4 linked regions of the Saccharomyces cerevisiae S288C genome follow. The gene in region 1 interacts genetically with each later gene. Each region holds a gene or a part of one and is shown in the gene's direction. Other genes may lie near its edges. The genes, in order: RMP1, BCH2, ITT1 and UGA3.

Region 1 (3,512 bases):
TTTATCGCATAGCAAGAATTGACATCTTCTGAAGTAGATTCTTCATCTTTACCGTCACCACTTGGAAATAGTCCTTTGGCCCATGAATGGCCATTAAACCAATCAAATGACCTAAATTGAGGGAAGTACGGATCATCGTTGTCAACACCAGAGTAATCTCTAATTAAGCACTCAACCCAATCTCTATTATTTTCTAACCAGGAGTTGTTAGTAACTCCACTTAAATCAGAATCGACTAAAGAGATAATGGCAGCCGTTATGACATGATAAGAGTAATGAAAATGATGATCATTATAATAAGAGTTACCAAAGTCTTGGCTAGAAGAGCCTGATGAAATTATGCCTTTCCAACTAACGTCGTAATTTAAAGGTAAGACTTGCTGATTGCTGATGAATCTCTCCATTGCAATAGTCAGTTTAGATAATAATTCTTTTGTTAAATTTTCATCATGAAGGATGTAATGTGTCACATAAAGAATCCACGCATACTTTGCAAGTATCTTACCAGAGAAATACATAGAATCTATGTTTGATTCTTGTTGAGGGTCACTCAATTGAACTTCTTGAACAGCAGCTTCCCGAATTTTAGATAGCTTTTCTTGACTGTAATCTGCCTTCTTATTCAAAGATAACGCGACAGGTTCAAAGCCCAATTCTTGAGGTACTTGAACCTGCATATCAAAACTGTTTGTGAGATAACCAGTCATTAAGCCTTTAACTGTGGAATCCAGGCTTGAGGCAATTTCACGTTCCTGCATTTCTGGTGTGAATGCCGCTTTATGATGTGGTAAAGCATACATTAGAGTAGTTCCAGACTGCGAGTAGCCTGCAACCGTATAGTTAAATCTGTAATTTGTGAAATGTTCATCAACAGTTTGCCCTGATAGGTCACAGTATACTGGATAACAGCCCGCTGCCATGTCAATACTGGGGACGGAGTCTGCAGATAATTGACAGATAAGACCATTGATTTTATGAGATGATATTATTGTATTGCTGTCGAGTAATGAAATTTGAAAATCTTGTGGAAAAGAGTAATCAGGTGAGGTCAAATAAAGTATCCAATTCCTATTATTCTCAAGTTGTATATTATATTTACCATATCTTTCATTCACGCTTATGCGCTCTAAGCTCCTGAAACCAACGGCGCTTCTTAATTCAAAACCCAAATCGTGGTAAATAGCCGTGACAAAGCCCATCCCCTGAACCAGCGGGAATTCTATAAACTGGGAACTACTCAAAGACATTAGTAAGCACATGGACATATGTTTCATATCCCGGAATTCAAGCTTGATATCATTTGAAGAGACAAATTCCCTGGCCTTGAATACAAATGATTTTATATTTGTGGGATTGAAGTAGAATCTGGGAGGATTTGTAGTTGTATCAAAAACCCTTTGAGACGCTAAAGTATGATTGGCGGCCAAACCAAACAATTCTGGATCACGAGAAAACCAAATTGAATAAGGATGTGTCCATATAGGTTGTGTATTATCGTCTAATAACATGTTTGTGTAGAACTTGTTTGTCTCCAATGGATCAACAGATTGATCATCAATATTCGGCTTTGGTACCGGGTGTTGAACTTTGTTGAAGACGGAAGGAGGAGCTTTTAAGTTAGAAAGGACAGGTGATTGAAAAATATTGTCACTATTCACCTGGCTGTCAGCTAAAGGGTTAGAACTGCTTGGTGTGCGCAGTGATTCACCTGCCACCCTATTTTCTCGAGGTTTACTGGAGTTCTCAGAAGAACAAACTGGTGGCTGAACATTTGCGCGAGGTGGTAAGGGAGGAGGTCCTCTATTGGTAGTACCGCCAGGTCTATTAGGAACAGGTGGAGGAATGGCTTGCCTACTGTAACACATCTTTTTACTTCTCGTATTTATTTATTTTTGTTTTTATGATACTAGCACTTTTCAGAAATTCATGAATTTTATTTATGGTTCCAAGAAAAAAACTTCAAAGAAATGAGTACTAGAATGATATATCCACAAAAAAAAAAAGAGCAGAAACAAAATGGATGAGATGGATAATGTGATACGATCTCTGGAGCAAGAATATCGGTTAATATTGCTCTTGAACCATAGGAACAAAAATCAACATAGAGCGGCTAGCTGGTATGGATCGTTCAATGAGATGAAAAGAAATTGTGGACAAATAATAACGCTTTTTAGCTCGAGAAGATTACAAGCCAAACGCCTTAAAGATGTTGAATGGGTCAAGTTGCACAGGCTATTACAGAGAGCACTTTTTAGACAGTTAAAGAGATGGTACTGGCAGTTCAATGGCGTAATTGCGCTGGGACAATTTGTAACGTTGGGTTGTACACTAGTAACATTGCTGGCAAATGTGAGGGCACTGTATATGAGATTATGGGAGATTAATGAAACTGAGTTTATAAGATGTGGATGCTTAATAAAGAACTTACCGAGAACAAAAGCAAAATCGGTTGTGAACGATGTCGAAGAACTTGGAGAAATTATAGATGAAGATATTGGCAACAACGTTCAAGAAAACGAACTAGTGATAACGTCTATACCAAAGCCTCTGACAGAGAACTGTAAGAAGAAAAAGAAAAGGAAAAAGAAGAACAAATCAGCCATTGATGGCATATTCGGATAAATATACAAGTAAATAGACTTTTTAAAATAATAATATCAATGCTAATAAATCATTCATTAATGACCTTGTCTGCCCAAGTAGGCAAAACAAACGCACTAGAATGTATTTGAGGATTATAGTACTTCAGCTTCCCTTGTTCTTGCTCAGATATCTTTCTTTGCGGAATGTTCAACGGTATATTGGCGTTATTACTGCAAACAATTAAACCTAATTGGCCAGATGTATAGGTTGGAACCATGGTATAGCAATATTCTGTATTAGGAAATACCTTTTTGGCTGTATTTTTCAAATCATGTAAGTATTTTAAATTTAACCAAAAATTTTCAGAGCTTTGCATAATAACAACGCCATTAGGATTTAAAGCATCTTTCAATAGTTCGAAATACCTCTCTTGAAAAAACGCTTCAGCTGGACCTTCAGGATCAGAACTATCTGTAATAATGACGTCAAATTTCTTATGGACGTCGGAAGCACCTATATCTTGTAAGAACTTGAAGCCATCGCAAAGTTTCAAGTCCAACCTTTCGTCATCGAAAGCACCATTACTCAATGTGGGCAAGAACTTACGGGATAATTCGATCACTGATGAGTCAATTTCTACCATAGTGATATCTTCTACACAGCTGTGCTTGGCTACTTCCCTTAAGACACCTCCGTCCCCACCGCCAATGATAAGTACACGCTTGGGATTAGAATGCGCAAACATGGCAATGTGGGTGATCATCTCTTGATAGGCAAACTCATCAAATTCCGTACATTGGACAATACCATCGAGGACCAAAACAGTACCGTATACCTTGTTACGGAAGATTAAGATGTCCTGAAATTCACTGCGGGCTTCATAAAGTATTGAGTCCACGGTCATAGTAAAGGCCTGGCCCGGAAAACTT
Region 2 (5,013 bases), on another chromosome or scaffold:
GAAGAAATCTATGATTAATGATGGCTTTGTCACTATTTGAGCAGTATGATTCTCATTTTACACCATAAACTTCACCAATTTTTTCATTTTTTTTTCATTTTTCTTCCGGATGAAATTTATCTATTGTAAAAAAAAAAAAACATTATGCTATGTAGAAAGCTTTAAATATGGCGACAATGTTGCTGTGTTGTATCAAATTCCCTGGATAGAGTCGTGCACTCTTAATGTGGCGAAAATGATGGCATTGCCTCCTTATTCTTTCTCATAAAAGGTATTACTAATCGTTATCTATTACCAACATAAGATATAGCTAGCAATTCTTGTAAGCACAATTACATATGTTTAGTTTTATTTTGAAAAGCAATACAAGCGCAAATTGTTTGGTCTGTTTTGGAGAGATCACCATGTAGCTGGCACTGCTGCAGATTGTCATGTAGTAAACATACTAGTAAAATATTCTTAAAATAATTTGATCAGATCAGTTTTGTTCTTCTATCTCCTATGTCATAACATACCGCTCATTTTTACTATCGTTATGTTTTTCATTCAGAAATTTTATTTTTCTTTAGGTCTTGAGTATCGACTTCCACAACATTGGATGACTGTACCTCACGATTTGTGTATTCTATTTATGCAGTATGTAATAACATATTAGTGTCACGACCGCTAGCCAATATACGATAGTGGATCTTTATTCCAAAAAATACTTATCTAACATGTTTAACAACAGATCAGATACTAAAACTTTTTGTCTGAATAAGAATTAACTACCATCTATGCACTAGCACACAAATTAGCAGTATGTTCTCATACACAGTGTAAGAAGATGACATTAAGAATGAGAAACGGTTATTAAATATAATAGAAGCTGAAATGCAAGCATTGATAACGTAACAAGATAAAGAATAAGCATATAAAGTAAAAAAACGAGACAATAACATTACTATTCATGAATACCGATTCCTTCTTCCGCATTTCTAATATCCTCGAAGAGAACTTTTAGTATATTGTGTATCATAGCCTTCAACAATAATGGAACACCAGTAATTATCATATTATTCAAACATTTCTCAATGATAGCTTTTATTCACAATGGAACCCAACAATTATTTCAAAATTCACACATTTCTTACTTCTTAGAGCAGGATTAGTTGGGTCTGGTAATTTGAACTACTATATTAGGTAAAAAATCATGCAATAAATAGTGCTGATACTTAGGGTTCTCAATTTTTAATGTCTCTTAATAATTCTTGTTCCTCGTGGCCCAATGGTCACGGCGTCTGGCTACGAACCAGAAGATTCCAGGTTCAAGTCCTGGCGGGGAAGAATTTTTTTACTTTTATAATTTTCTTATTATCTTTTCAGTTATTGAGTAAAAATATTATAATATTGGAAATGCTACGTTGCCAGTCCTGGTGCCGTACAATGCCGTATTATTTTAGCAATTCGTCATCAGGTTTCCGAGGCATTGTTACACCGTTTGGGAAAAATAAGATGTATGCACAATGGTGTATCTAAATTCAACATAAAAATAAAAAAAACAAAATGACAAACGGCAATAAAGAGACATTGTGTGCAAAGAAAGGGCATATATATCAAGTAGTATAAGTAGTAAAGTACAGTTAACAGATCAATTGGCCTCGAGGAATATGAGTTTTTTATGGGGGTCTACAAAGTCCAAGAAAGGCAAGAATAAAAAGGCTGCAGGTTCTCTTCCGTCAGGTGTTGTTCCACAGCAACGTGTGAAACCAACACGTAAAAACGTTCCTATAGATTATCCAAGAACTTTGGAAAAAGTACATGGTGAAAGTTTAATCTTTAGGACGTCCCTTTTAAGTGAATTGGTGAGCACTGGTAAATCTGGTATTGGTCCTCCAGACTTGATTCATTGTACAGAGTTAGATAAATTTCACGATGAGAAAATAGGTGAATTCTTTTACATCACGGGGATCGACGCCTCGAGCGTCTCTATGCCAATTGCATTTTTGAAGCTGATAAAATGGAATGATGGTAAGAAACTAAAATCAGCATCTTTGAAGAACGACGACATCACAACCTACTGCACTTTCAATATCTTTCAAAAATTGGACATTAGATTAAGATATGAATCTGAAGATGTTTATCAAGTTAATATCGTTGACTGTTTAAATGGCAACAATGAAATACCGTTGAGTGATCTTATTTGGGAAGAAACTTTCGTTAGCTGTTGCATAAGAAGCGTAATTATTAATTCAGATTTTGAAAGAAAAATACCTGGGCTAGTGGAATTACCATTTGTTTTTGAGAACAGATGCGCGAGTGATTATAAAAGGGTGATAGATTCGTTATGCAAATTTTTGCCAAGATTTTTAGAATGTGGTTGGGATTCTACAAAGAGCGTCTATGCAACGATACTGAATAACTACCTAACTGAATCATTATTAGTATTTCTGTCTATAACTCCAGAATTCATAACAGACTATGCGATCCAGGTTTTAGACAACTTGATGACGAATGACCCGTCAAATTCTAGATATTACGCTATTGTAATTATTTCTATCATGGAGCGAAGTAATGACCGCGATGTAGAAATGATCAAACGGATACACGAGATATTAGACCTATTACTACCCGTACTGTATGGATTGCCATCCGATGAACCTTACATTTCTGATTTGATCAATTGCATCACCGATGTATTAAGCATCCAAGCAAGGTTTCTATTGAACAATAACGACTATGAACTTTCTTTATCCATTTCCACATTGGCCACGAATTTATCTTCTGATAATTTTGAATCTTGGTATCTGTTATCTAAAGGCTATATTTTTTCACAACAGTATGATAAGGCACTGCTCTCAATCAATTCGATGCCCTGTTTAGCGGAATATGATATCGTTAAACAAGCCCAGATTAACGCTTTTAAGTTTTATATGAACTACTACAAGGCACCACTATGTCATAGCAGAGAACACTGTACCATGACATCACACGAGTTAAATCACCTCATGAATATTATGCATTATGAAAATGAGTTGGAGTTGAAGACAATAATATTTGGACGCACTGTAATGCCCAATGAATCTAAGTATGGATGTATTGAAGAGATATGGAATAAATCCTGTCTTGAATTAGGACCTATTTGTGGACCACAGAGTGACAATCTCATAAACTTTGTATCTCAGCAGGAGGTAAATACAGTAGGAGATATGCTGTTACTAAAACGAAGCAAAGAAACCAGACAAGAGAGTTGGTTTATAAAGCAAGTACGTCTTCTGTTGATGGAATTAGTCGCTAGAATCGGCTGGAACGCCTTACTTCAGCTAAGATCTGACGTTTTCGTTATGGAGAGTAAATTCAAAATGATAGAATCTTCGGACAAGCTGTCCACAGAATTACGCCAGAAGAGGCTCTGTCAGAGATGGTTTGATGCTATGTTTCTGGACGTTTACGAAGATTTAAGTATTAGCACTTCATCTCAAGAAAATAAGGCTACGGCGAAATACAGCGGGTTGGAATGGGAACTACTTGGCTTAACTCTGCTTCGAGTGAGTGACTTACCCGATGCAGTAGCGTGTCTACGAACTAGTATTTTGGCAAGGTTTGACCCTATTAGTTGTCACCATCTGTTGAACTTTTATTTAACCATGGATTTTAATGATGAGTTTATGAGAAGGTTTGACGTCGATATCATTTTAGATCTATTAGTGAAATTGATCTCCTTTCGGATACGATTCTATGATAGATTTCAGATATTTTCCCTTCAAGTACTAAGGAAACTAGAGGGACAGCTGGGCTCCGAAATTATTAAGAATAAAATAATTAATTCTCCTTACGGGCAAGCTGGCATCACTTCGGTGATAGATTATATGCTTGAATGCCTCTCTAAAAATAGGAATGAAGCCTGCCTAGCCTATGAACGCCCTCTTCCAGATCTTCCTTCCACTATCAAACCTCTGGCAGACTAACTGATCAAATTGATTTAATGAATCTATATATATATACTGTGTGTGTGTGTCTGTATTCTTAATGGACAAATTTACGGCGATAATGCTAATACTTTAGCGCGGGTAATATCCTAATAGTAATTTTTCAACGATTTGACAGAGTAAAAAATGACCAGCGTAAAAATAACATCAATACGTCAAGGGTATACTAGACCCTTTTCAGCTCTTTCCTTGTCCATTCGAAGACATATCAAAGATAAGAAAGGTGTTGGATATTTACTATTGTAATTTCACCTTTTATTTCTTTTTTTTTGACGGGCAATTGTTTGTTCGTAATAGATTTTCTATCAAGTCAAGAATTTTTTATTCTTGCAAAGGCCGGCTCACGAATAAAGAGTTGCATTTGCCTTGCAATTCGTACGGTTAATTGTCATTTTTTCTATTTGTATTATAAGATACGAAGGGTACCTCATTGAAGTATTTTCACCTTTAGCATTTTCTTTATCATCTTTTGTTTTGTTTGTTCATTTACTTTAGCGTTTAGTTGATAAGTCCTGTTATCCTCTTCTTTTATTTCATTTCTTCATTTACTTAACTGCGAGAAGATTATAATAGCATGTCAGGTTCTTTCTGGAAGTTTGGTCAGGATTACTCGATAGAGTCACCGGTTTCTAAGATTCTAAATAGTGCCTTTATTAAAATCAATAAGGACCAAGATGACGACGTACCTACCGGCACATGTGAAGAAAATATTGCTGATGACGAAGATAACTCTTCACATGACTACGCTGCTTCTGAAGATAATGTAGTTAACGAGAACGAAGAGAAGGAAGAAGAAAATACTCTGCCCACTACAGAATCGGAATATGAAAATTATAGACCTAATTTGGACGTCTTAGACGATTTGCTGGATGATGACGAACTGTATACGGAATTAATGTGTTCAAATTTCAAGCTACTAATATTCTTGAAGTATCCTGATGTTTTATCAAAATTGATAGAATATGTTACCAACGAGAAGATTCTCGACGAAGAAACAGATAGCGCTAAAAAGCCAGAGATTATTGAAGGTGTAAACGATCATCCT
Region 3 (4,080 bases), on another chromosome or scaffold:
TTGAACAAGAATTATGAGTACCGACTTTGATAGAATTTACTTGAACCAATCTAAATTTAGCGGTAGATTCCGTATTGCTGATTCTGGGTTAGGGTGGAAAATTAGTACCAGTGGTGGCTCTGCAGCAAATCAGGCAAGAAAACCATTTTTATTACCAGCCACAGAATTATCTACCGTCCAATGGAGTAGGGGCTGCAGGGGTTACGACTTGAAGATAAATACCAAAAATCAAGGTGTTATCCAACTAGATGGATTTTCTCAGGATGACTATAACTTAATCAAGAATGATTTCCATCGCCGTTTTAATATTCAGGTAGAGCAAAGAGAACATTCCTTACGTGGTTGGAACTGGGGTAAGACAGACCTTGCCAGGAATGAAATGGTTTTTGCTTTAAATGGTAAACCAACTTTTGAAATTCCTTATGCTAGAATAAATAATACAAATTTGACCTCTAAAAATGAAGTAGGAATAGAATTTAATATTCAAGATGAAGAGTACCAACCAGCCGGTGACGAATTGGTAGAGATGAGGTTCTATATTCCTGGTGTTATTCAAACAAACGTCGATGAAAACATGACCAAAAAGGAAGAGTCAAGCAACGAGGTCGTACCAAAGAAAGAAGATGGTGCTGAAGGAGAAGATGTACAAATGGCAGTAGAGGAAAAGAGTATGGCAGAAGCATTCTATGAAGAACTAAAGGAAAAGGCAGACATCGGGGAAGTCGCTGGTGATGCAATAGTTTCCTTCCAAGACGTCTTTTTTACCACGCCAAGAGGTCGTTATGATATCGATATTTACAAGAACTCCATTAGACTCAGGGGTAAGACCTATGAATACAAATTGCAACATCGTCAAATACAAAGAATTGTTTCGTTACCAAAGGCAGATGATATCCATCACTTATTGGTTTTGGCAATTGAACCTCCTTTACGTCAAGGACAGACCACCTACCCCTTTCTTGTCTTACAATTTCAGAAAGATGAGGAAACAGAAGTGCAATTGAATCTAGAAGATGAAGATTATGAGGAAAATTATAAGGATAAATTGAAAAAACAATATGATGCTAAAACTCATATAGTTTTAAGTCATGTATTAAAAGGTCTGACTGACCGTAGAGTCATTGTTCCTGGAGAATATAAATCCAAATATGATCAGTGTGCAGTTTCATGTTCTTTCAAAGCAAACGAAGGTTATTTGTATCCATTAGATAACGCTTTCTTCTTTTTAACTAAGCCAACTTTGTACATACCATTCAGTGATGTTAGCATGGTAAACATTTCAAGAGCAGGACAAACTTCTACGTCATCGAGGACGTTTGATTTGGAAGTGGTACTGCGTTCAAATAGAGGTTCTACCACTTTTGCCAACATCAGTAAGGAAGAGCAGCAATTATTGGAACAATTCCTAAAGTCTAAAAACCTAAGGGTGAAGAATGAAGATAGAGAGGTACAAGAAAGGTTACAAACCGCTTTAGGTTCAGACAGTGACGAAGAGGATATTAATATGGGTTCCGCTGGTGAAGATGATGAATCAGTAGATGAGGATTTTCAGGTCAGCTCTGATAATGACGCAGACGAAGTTGCAGAAGAGTTTGATTCAGATGCGGCTTTAAGTGATGCTGAGGGGGGTAGCGACGAAGAAAGGCCTTCGAAGAAGCCTAAGGTAGAATAGTAATAATTTTAGACTGTATAAGTTAAATTTATTGATATTGTGTAAAAACTAACTAATATATTTTGCCAATTGATATTATCATGACATGGTGAGTGTAAGACACCACCTCTTAATTACTGGTGTTATTCTATACATTTATTTGAAATTGGTTTTGTTTTGCAAAATATTTATGTTTTGTTAATCTCCTCTACCCTTTCAATGCTTGAAAAATACTTTCAACTTTTCGATTGGGTGATGAAAAAAAGACAAATAGTGTAAAGGGTTCAAAAATAAATAACAAGCAAGAGAAAGGGACTTTGCTTTTCTCATTTAGTCACCAGTAAGTTATGTCATGGTGTAGAATAACGAATTACAGAAAACTAATATAACTGATGAAAGACCAGGGAGTAAAATGGCTTTGACTCAGTTTGAAAATGATTTGGAAATATTAAGAGATATGTACCCAGAACTGGAAATGAAATCGGTAAAAGTAGAGGAGGAAGGTGAATTCCCTCAAAGAATTAACGGAAAGTTACTGTTCAAGATATCACTATTGGCCGATGTAAATATTGAGTTCGGCGAGCAACATATGTTACTTTCAAACTTATCTAATGAATGCGTGGAGTTCACCATATATAGCTGTCATTATCCGGACATTCGACGGTGTGTTGTTATGGATATCAAATCCTTATGGATATCAACAGATGAAAAGAAGATGTTAATTGACAAAGCGCTGAGACTCGTTGAAGAAACTGTAGATATGAGTATTGAGTTCGCGGATTCGTTTACCTCCATCCTTATCCTCATCTTTGGGTTTCTTATAGATGATACAGCTATATTACTATTCCCTAATGGAATAAGAAAGTGCCTGACACAGGATCAGTATGACTTGTTTAAGCAGATAAGTGAGGAAGCCACCCTCCAAAAAGTGAGCAGATCTAACTACCATTGTTGTATTTGTATGGAAATGGAAAAGGGTGTTAGAATGATCAAATTGCCATGTGAAAATGCGAATGTAGAACACTATCTTTGCAGAGGATGCGCCAAATCTTATTTCACTGCAATGATTCAGGAAAACCGAATATCCAGTGTAAGATGTCCACAATGCGAATACAAAGAATTAAAACTAGAAGATTTCAAGAGCTATAAAAAAATGCTGAAGGCATTGTTTACACCTTTGATTCCAGTGTCCTTCTTAAAAGAGGTTATCGATACAGAGCTATGTGAAAGATACGAAAAAATGTTCTACAACCAGGCGGCTACAAGACTCTCAAAATATTGTCCGTATGCTTGTGTGACTTGTCGAAGATGTGATAGTTGGTGCACAAAAGAAGACCTCGATGATGCGATGATTCAGTGTCAAAAATGTCATTTTGTATTTTGCTTTGACTGCTTGCATGCCTGGCATGGTTACAACAATAAATGTGGCAAGAAAGTTTCGTTATCGACCGATATTATTGAGGAATATCTAGATGATACCGTTACTTCATATGAGAGAAAGCGGAAACTGGAGGCAAAATATGGGAGAAGAGTATTAGAACTTGAAGTCAATGATTACCTTGCTGAAAAAATGTTAGATTTAGCGATTAAAAAAGAGGGTTCGAATTTGCAGCGATGTCCAAAGTGTAAGGTAGTTGTAGAAAGAAGTGAAGGTTGCAATAAAATGAAATGCGAAGTATGCGGGACGCTGTTCTGTTTTATATGCGGAGTATTACTTTATCCTGAGGACCCTTATGAACATTTTAGAGAAGCATATTCAGGCTGTTATGGACGATTGTTTGAAGGTATGCCTGGCACAGAAACTTGAGTGCGATCGCTCTGCCTTCAGTCTCACACTTTTTCTTATAATCTATTGTCATGAAATTTATACAGATGAAAATGAAACGTTATCTTGGGTATACTGCATTCTCTTTTCTTTTACATATCTACCTATCTAAAATACCCTTAGTTTTATCATCTGGCTGATAACGCAAGGACCACTTAGGTCCCATGATGGTGATAAGAGCCATATCCAGTAGTGTGAAAATCCACGAAGCACAGTAGACCAAAAATGAGCAGATTGCCACTAATCTGACCAAAAACTGTATAAAGCTTAAACGAACATCAGAAACTACTATGGATAATGGTTCGAAATTGTATTTGAAGAAGATGCCCGGCATTTTATCACCTTTAGCAGCGACATCTTTGTACAAATAGCGGTAATCGTTAACAGAATATTGATTAGTATCCACTTCTGCCCCCAATTTCTTGAAAAGAGTGGGCACAACAGATGTGTAATAGACGTAAGTAGTTAAAGGTTCATCCTGATTAAACTGTGCAGTGTTATCCAATGGGTTATCAATATATGGATAGAAATCACCAAAAGAGAACTCATTAATAACATGATTAAATTTTAATTCTTCCAGTGGTGCTTTGCGTGAAGCCACGTA
Region 4 (4,293 bases), on another chromosome or scaffold:
GTCTAACTCATCTTTGAAAGTTGCTGAATTCATCACACCTTCTCTGGAGCGCATCCAATTCTTGTTACCTCTTAAGGTGTTAATTTCACCATTATGAGCTAGCCAACGTAAAGGTTGAGCTCTATCCCAAGAGGGGAAAGTATTAGTGGAAAATCTTGAATGGACCAACGCCATGTGGGATTTGAAATGCGCATTAGTCAAGTCGGGATAGTAGTTATACACTTGAGCTGGCGTCAATTGACCCTTGTAAACAATGGTGGTATTGTTTAGGGAACAAACATAGAACCAGTTTTCCAGTCCTATTTGAAGAGAGGCCTCCTTCCTTAAAAGATACAATTGAGTTCTAAATTTAGTTTCATTAAACTCCGGTTGTTTTTCATCATACAATGGAACCAATAATGGCTGTAGAATAGTAGGTTCACGAGATAATGCAACGTCTCCTAAAATAGTAGAATCTACGGGGACGTTTCTCCAACCTAATACGGATAAGTTGAAGGATGCAGCTAAATCCTCGAAAATCTTCTGACACTTAATTAAATTTTTCTTGTTATTTTTTTCGTTCTTCTTGAAGAAGACGTTACCTACGGCGTATTTGCCCATCTCAGGTATGTCTAGATCAAGATCTAACTTGAATTCTCTTTTCATAAATTCGTGAGGAATACCTAGCAGAATACCGGCACCGTCACCGTTCCCATCAGATGAGACGGCACCACGATGTGTCATATTCACTAAAAGATATCTAGCGTCAGTAACAATCTTGTGAGACTGTTCACCATGCTTATTTGCTACGAAACCGACACCACAAGCGTCATGTTCATAATCAGGGTCGTAAAGTCCTCGTTTGTCCGGAATCACATTTGCCCAAGATTTATGAAGATGGTGTTCATCGTTATAGTTTTGAATTGTCCCACCTTCGTAAGCTTCTTCCAATGGATCGAAATTGTCTGATTTCAACACTGGCATGCTTTCTTTTCTAATTCTTTTTCTAGTTCTTCAAAATAAATAAATGGCAAATAGATTAAGAAAAAAGAGAGAGTAGAAAGACAAAAATAAATAAAAAAAAACTGAAGCAGAAAAATAAATAAATAAGTTAAACGTTAATCACTACCTCAATGAGCTAAAAGAAGGGGAAGAAAGAGCAACTGAGAGTATCCGTCTGCGTAGTATAGGACTGAGATAGCAATTTCCTATCTTCCTATGATGTGGAGACGATTAGTTTGGTGTGTTATCAAGTAAGATATAAGAATTGATTAATTTGGTAAGAAATGAAACAATAGGACGAAAAATACAATAAGATAAGGAAGACCATCAGAACTTATGAATGACTAAGAAAAGCAGTTTATATTTTTTTTTTGGGCAATTTATTGCTTCTTTTTTTTACGTTTTGCGGGCATCACGTTCGTCGTGACATATGACTTGAAAAATGTGCAAAAGCTTATCGGAGCCAATCGGATTGACGCATTAAAACCGAAGTGTATTAGGACCAAATTTGCGCTGTATAGGGTTGAACGGTAGGGCTACCAGGGTCTGAGTCATCAAAGAAAAAGAAATTACAATAAGAGTCTTACTTAAGATGATATAGAATTGTTGTTATTGTTCATGTATGGATGCCAAGAAAACAAAGTTTTTTAAAGTGAGGTATGAATTATGGCGTGGAGAAGCTGAAATTGAAATATTCGAAGCATGGGTGTATTACTTGCAAGATCAGAAAGAAGAGATGCTCTGAAGATAAACCTGTGTGCCGGGACTGTCGTCGATTAAGTTTTCCCTGTATCTATATATCAGAATCTGTTGATAAGCAGTCTTTGAAAAAAATAAAGGCAGATATACAGCACCAGTTGATCAGCAAGAAAAGAAAGCATGCTCCTGACAGTGCTCAGAAAGCGGCCGTGGCCACCCGTACTCGACGGGTCGGTAGCGACGAACAGGATAACCAGGTATATTTGTCAAAACCGCTGGAAGATTGCATTTCTCAGAAGCTGGACTCTATGGGATTGCAGCTGTACAACTACTACAGGTCTCACCTTGCAAACATAATTTCCATCGCGCCCATGAACCAGAACTACTATCTGAACATTTTCTTGCCAATGGCCCACGAGAATGATGGTATATTGTTTGCTATTCTTGCTTGGTCAGCTAATCATTTGTCTATATCATCATCAAATGAGCTGCGAAAGGATGAAATATTTGTCAACTTGGCGAACAAGTATACATACATGTCGTTATCGCATCTAAAGACAAACGAGGGCTCAAGTGCCTGTGCTAAACTGGGGTTTCTATATTCACTAGCACAAATCCTAATCTTATGTGGTTCAGAGATATGTCAGGGTGATGTGAAATTTTGGAAGATATTATTGAATATAGGAAAAAATTTGATCGAAAACCATGTGGGCAAGGATGTCTCACGGATACTAACCACTACTACAGAAGAACCCTCCCTAGAGGAGAGGATAATCTTCCCCAATTTCAATTCCGTTGTTAAGTACTGGCTGATTGTGAATTTTATATATCATGATATTTTGAATTTCAATACAACGTCCTTCCCGATCGAACAATACGAGAAATTCTTCCAAAGGGATCAGAACTCTTTACCCAGCTCAGCCAACTTTATTGAGTCAATAGACTCGCCAATTGAGGAAATAGACCCTTTAATTGGCATCAACAAGCCTATTTTACTACTATTGGGACAAGTCACAAATTTGACGAGGTTTTTGCAGACTATGGAACAGGAAGAAATGCTAGAGCATGGCGATAAAATTTTGAGTTTGCAAGTCGAGATTTATAAATTACAACCTTCGCTTATGGCGCTGGAACATTTGGATGATGAAAAGAAATTTTACTATTTAGAACTATTCGAGATAATGAAAATTTCTACCTTAATGTTCTTTCAATTAACTTTATTAAAGATTGACAAAGATTCGCTGGAACTACAGATACTGAGAAACAAATTGGACTCGAAGCTAGACAAGGTCATCGGAACTTTTTTGGAAGGATCGTTATGCTTCCCACTTTTCATTTACGGTGTATGCATTCAGGTAGAAGATATGGAGAAAAAAATAGATTTGGAAGCCAAATTTGACGACATTTTAAAACGATATAAATGTTACAATTTCCAAAATGCTAGATTATTGATACGGAAAATTTGGCAAAACGAGGCTGATGGCATCAGTGAGCATGACCTGGTCCACATGATTGACGAATTAGATTACAATATTAATTTTGCCTGAGCAGCATATATTTTCTTTCCCCGCCCCCTGGGTGTCTTAAATTATTGTTTCACCACACAAACATATATATGTTCTTTTTTTTTTTTGTAGGACGTACGGATTCAAAAACAATTTATACCTATACAATGTAGAAATGCTAACGTTGAGACATAGAAGTAATTATTTAATTAACCATTTTAGGTGATTATTTTCAGGGGTGTCCGAGTCCACCTCTACAACATCCACCTGCCCGGTTTGATACCTGTAATCGCCTGTCTTGGAGTCCTCCACAAAGCTTATGCTTCTCTCAGATTTCCTGCGTGGCCTATCCATTATGGCTGCTCCTGCATACGACGTGCCAGTGCCGCCAATCATATCTATATCATGATTGCTTTCCCCGTCGCTTGTACTATCTTCATTCGAGTGGACGTCATGAGCCCATACAGATTTATACCGATTTGCTCTCGGAAATTCATGGCCATCTAGCACTTGTATTCTTTGGTAGTGATCACTATCATTATCCTCGTCACTCTCGTCCCTTTCACAAACGGGGCTTTCCCTTCTCTGCTTTGCAGTCCTTGTTAATTTAGTCTTAGACTTCATTTTAGCTCTTTTATTAGATTTTGTCTTTAATTTGCCCTTGATCTTCAAAATTAACTCATCAAAGTTGTCCTCGTGTGCATCATATACCACCTTATATGATTGTTGGTATTGTGTGGCGAATAAGTCCTGGTTCCAGGCAAAACCTTGACTTTGAGATACAGATATTTTAAAATTTGGCCTTATTTCTGCACTATATGTAAATACCGAACTGGTATTTGAGTATACAATAAGTTTCTCCTTATCCTCCATGACTCTTCAGTAGCGGTTATGAACACGATATAACTATCTGCATTTAACGCTGGTACTGATTTCAATTTATCCTTATCAAATGATACGCTCTTTCCCTTTAAAAAGCGCCCTTACCTCGTTCCGAACGGCGCTAGTAAGAATTTCATCAAATTGCCCTTCTTGTGGGGGGATGCTCATCACAGACTACTGAATATGCATCACAGAAAAGACAAAAAGAACCATTAACATGATTCTG

The links.
Region 2: mutations in RMP1 (region 1) and BCH2 together harm fitness more than expected from each alone (negative genetic interaction), as found in Saccharomyces cerevisiae (one large-scale study listed by BioGRID).
Region 3: mutations in RMP1 (region 1) and ITT1 together harm fitness less than expected from each alone (positive genetic interaction), as found in Saccharomyces cerevisiae (one large-scale study listed by BioGRID).
Region 4: mutations in RMP1 (region 1) and UGA3 together harm fitness more than expected from each alone (negative genetic interaction), as found in Saccharomyces cerevisiae (one large-scale study listed by BioGRID).

The regions. Positions count from the first base shown.
Region 1 is NC_001144.5:430,152-433,663, forward strand, and holds RMP1 (Rmp1p), read left to right. Parts: upstream 1-2,016; coding exon 2,017-2,622; downstream 2,623-3,512. Other genes in the region: ACF2 (endo-1,3(4)-beta-glucanase), read right to left, coding at 1-1,865; SPE4 (spermine synthase), read right to left, coding at 2,672-3,512. UniProt on the Saccharomyces cerevisiae protein: Functions as part of ribonuclease MRP (RNase MRP), which is involved in rRNA processing in mitochondria.
Region 2 is NC_001143.9:489,715-494,727, forward strand, and holds BCH2 (Bch2p), read left to right. Parts: upstream 1-1,649; coding exon 1,650-3,947; downstream 3,948-5,013. Other genes in the region: SAP190 (Sap190p), read left to right, coding at 4,543-5,013. UniProt on the Saccharomyces cerevisiae protein: Member of the CHS5-ARF1P-binding proteins (CHAPS) which mediates export of specific cargo proteins, including chitin synthase CHS3.
Region 3 is NC_001145.3:135,487-139,566, forward strand, and holds ITT1 (RBR-type E3 ubiquitin transferase), read left to right. Parts: upstream 1-2,063; coding exon 2,064-3,458; downstream 3,459-4,080. Other genes in the region: FACT complex subunit POB3, read left to right, coding at 14-1,672; ERV41 (Erv41p), read right to left, coding at 3,577-4,080. UniProt on the Saccharomyces cerevisiae protein: E3 ubiquitin-protein ligase involved in translation quality control. Involved in the rescue of stalled ribosomes by promoting ubiquitination and degradation of proteins on stalled ribosomes.
Region 4 is NC_001136.10:154,678-158,970, forward strand, and holds UGA3 (Uga3p), read left to right. Parts: upstream 1-1,640; coding exon 1,641-3,227; downstream 3,228-4,293. Other genes in the region: GLT1 (glutamate synthase (NADH)), read right to left, coding at 1-963; UGX2 (Ugx2p), read right to left, coding at 3,387-4,058. UniProt on the Saccharomyces cerevisiae protein: GABA-dependent positive regulation of genes required for catabolism of GABA (UGA4, UGA1, and UGA2).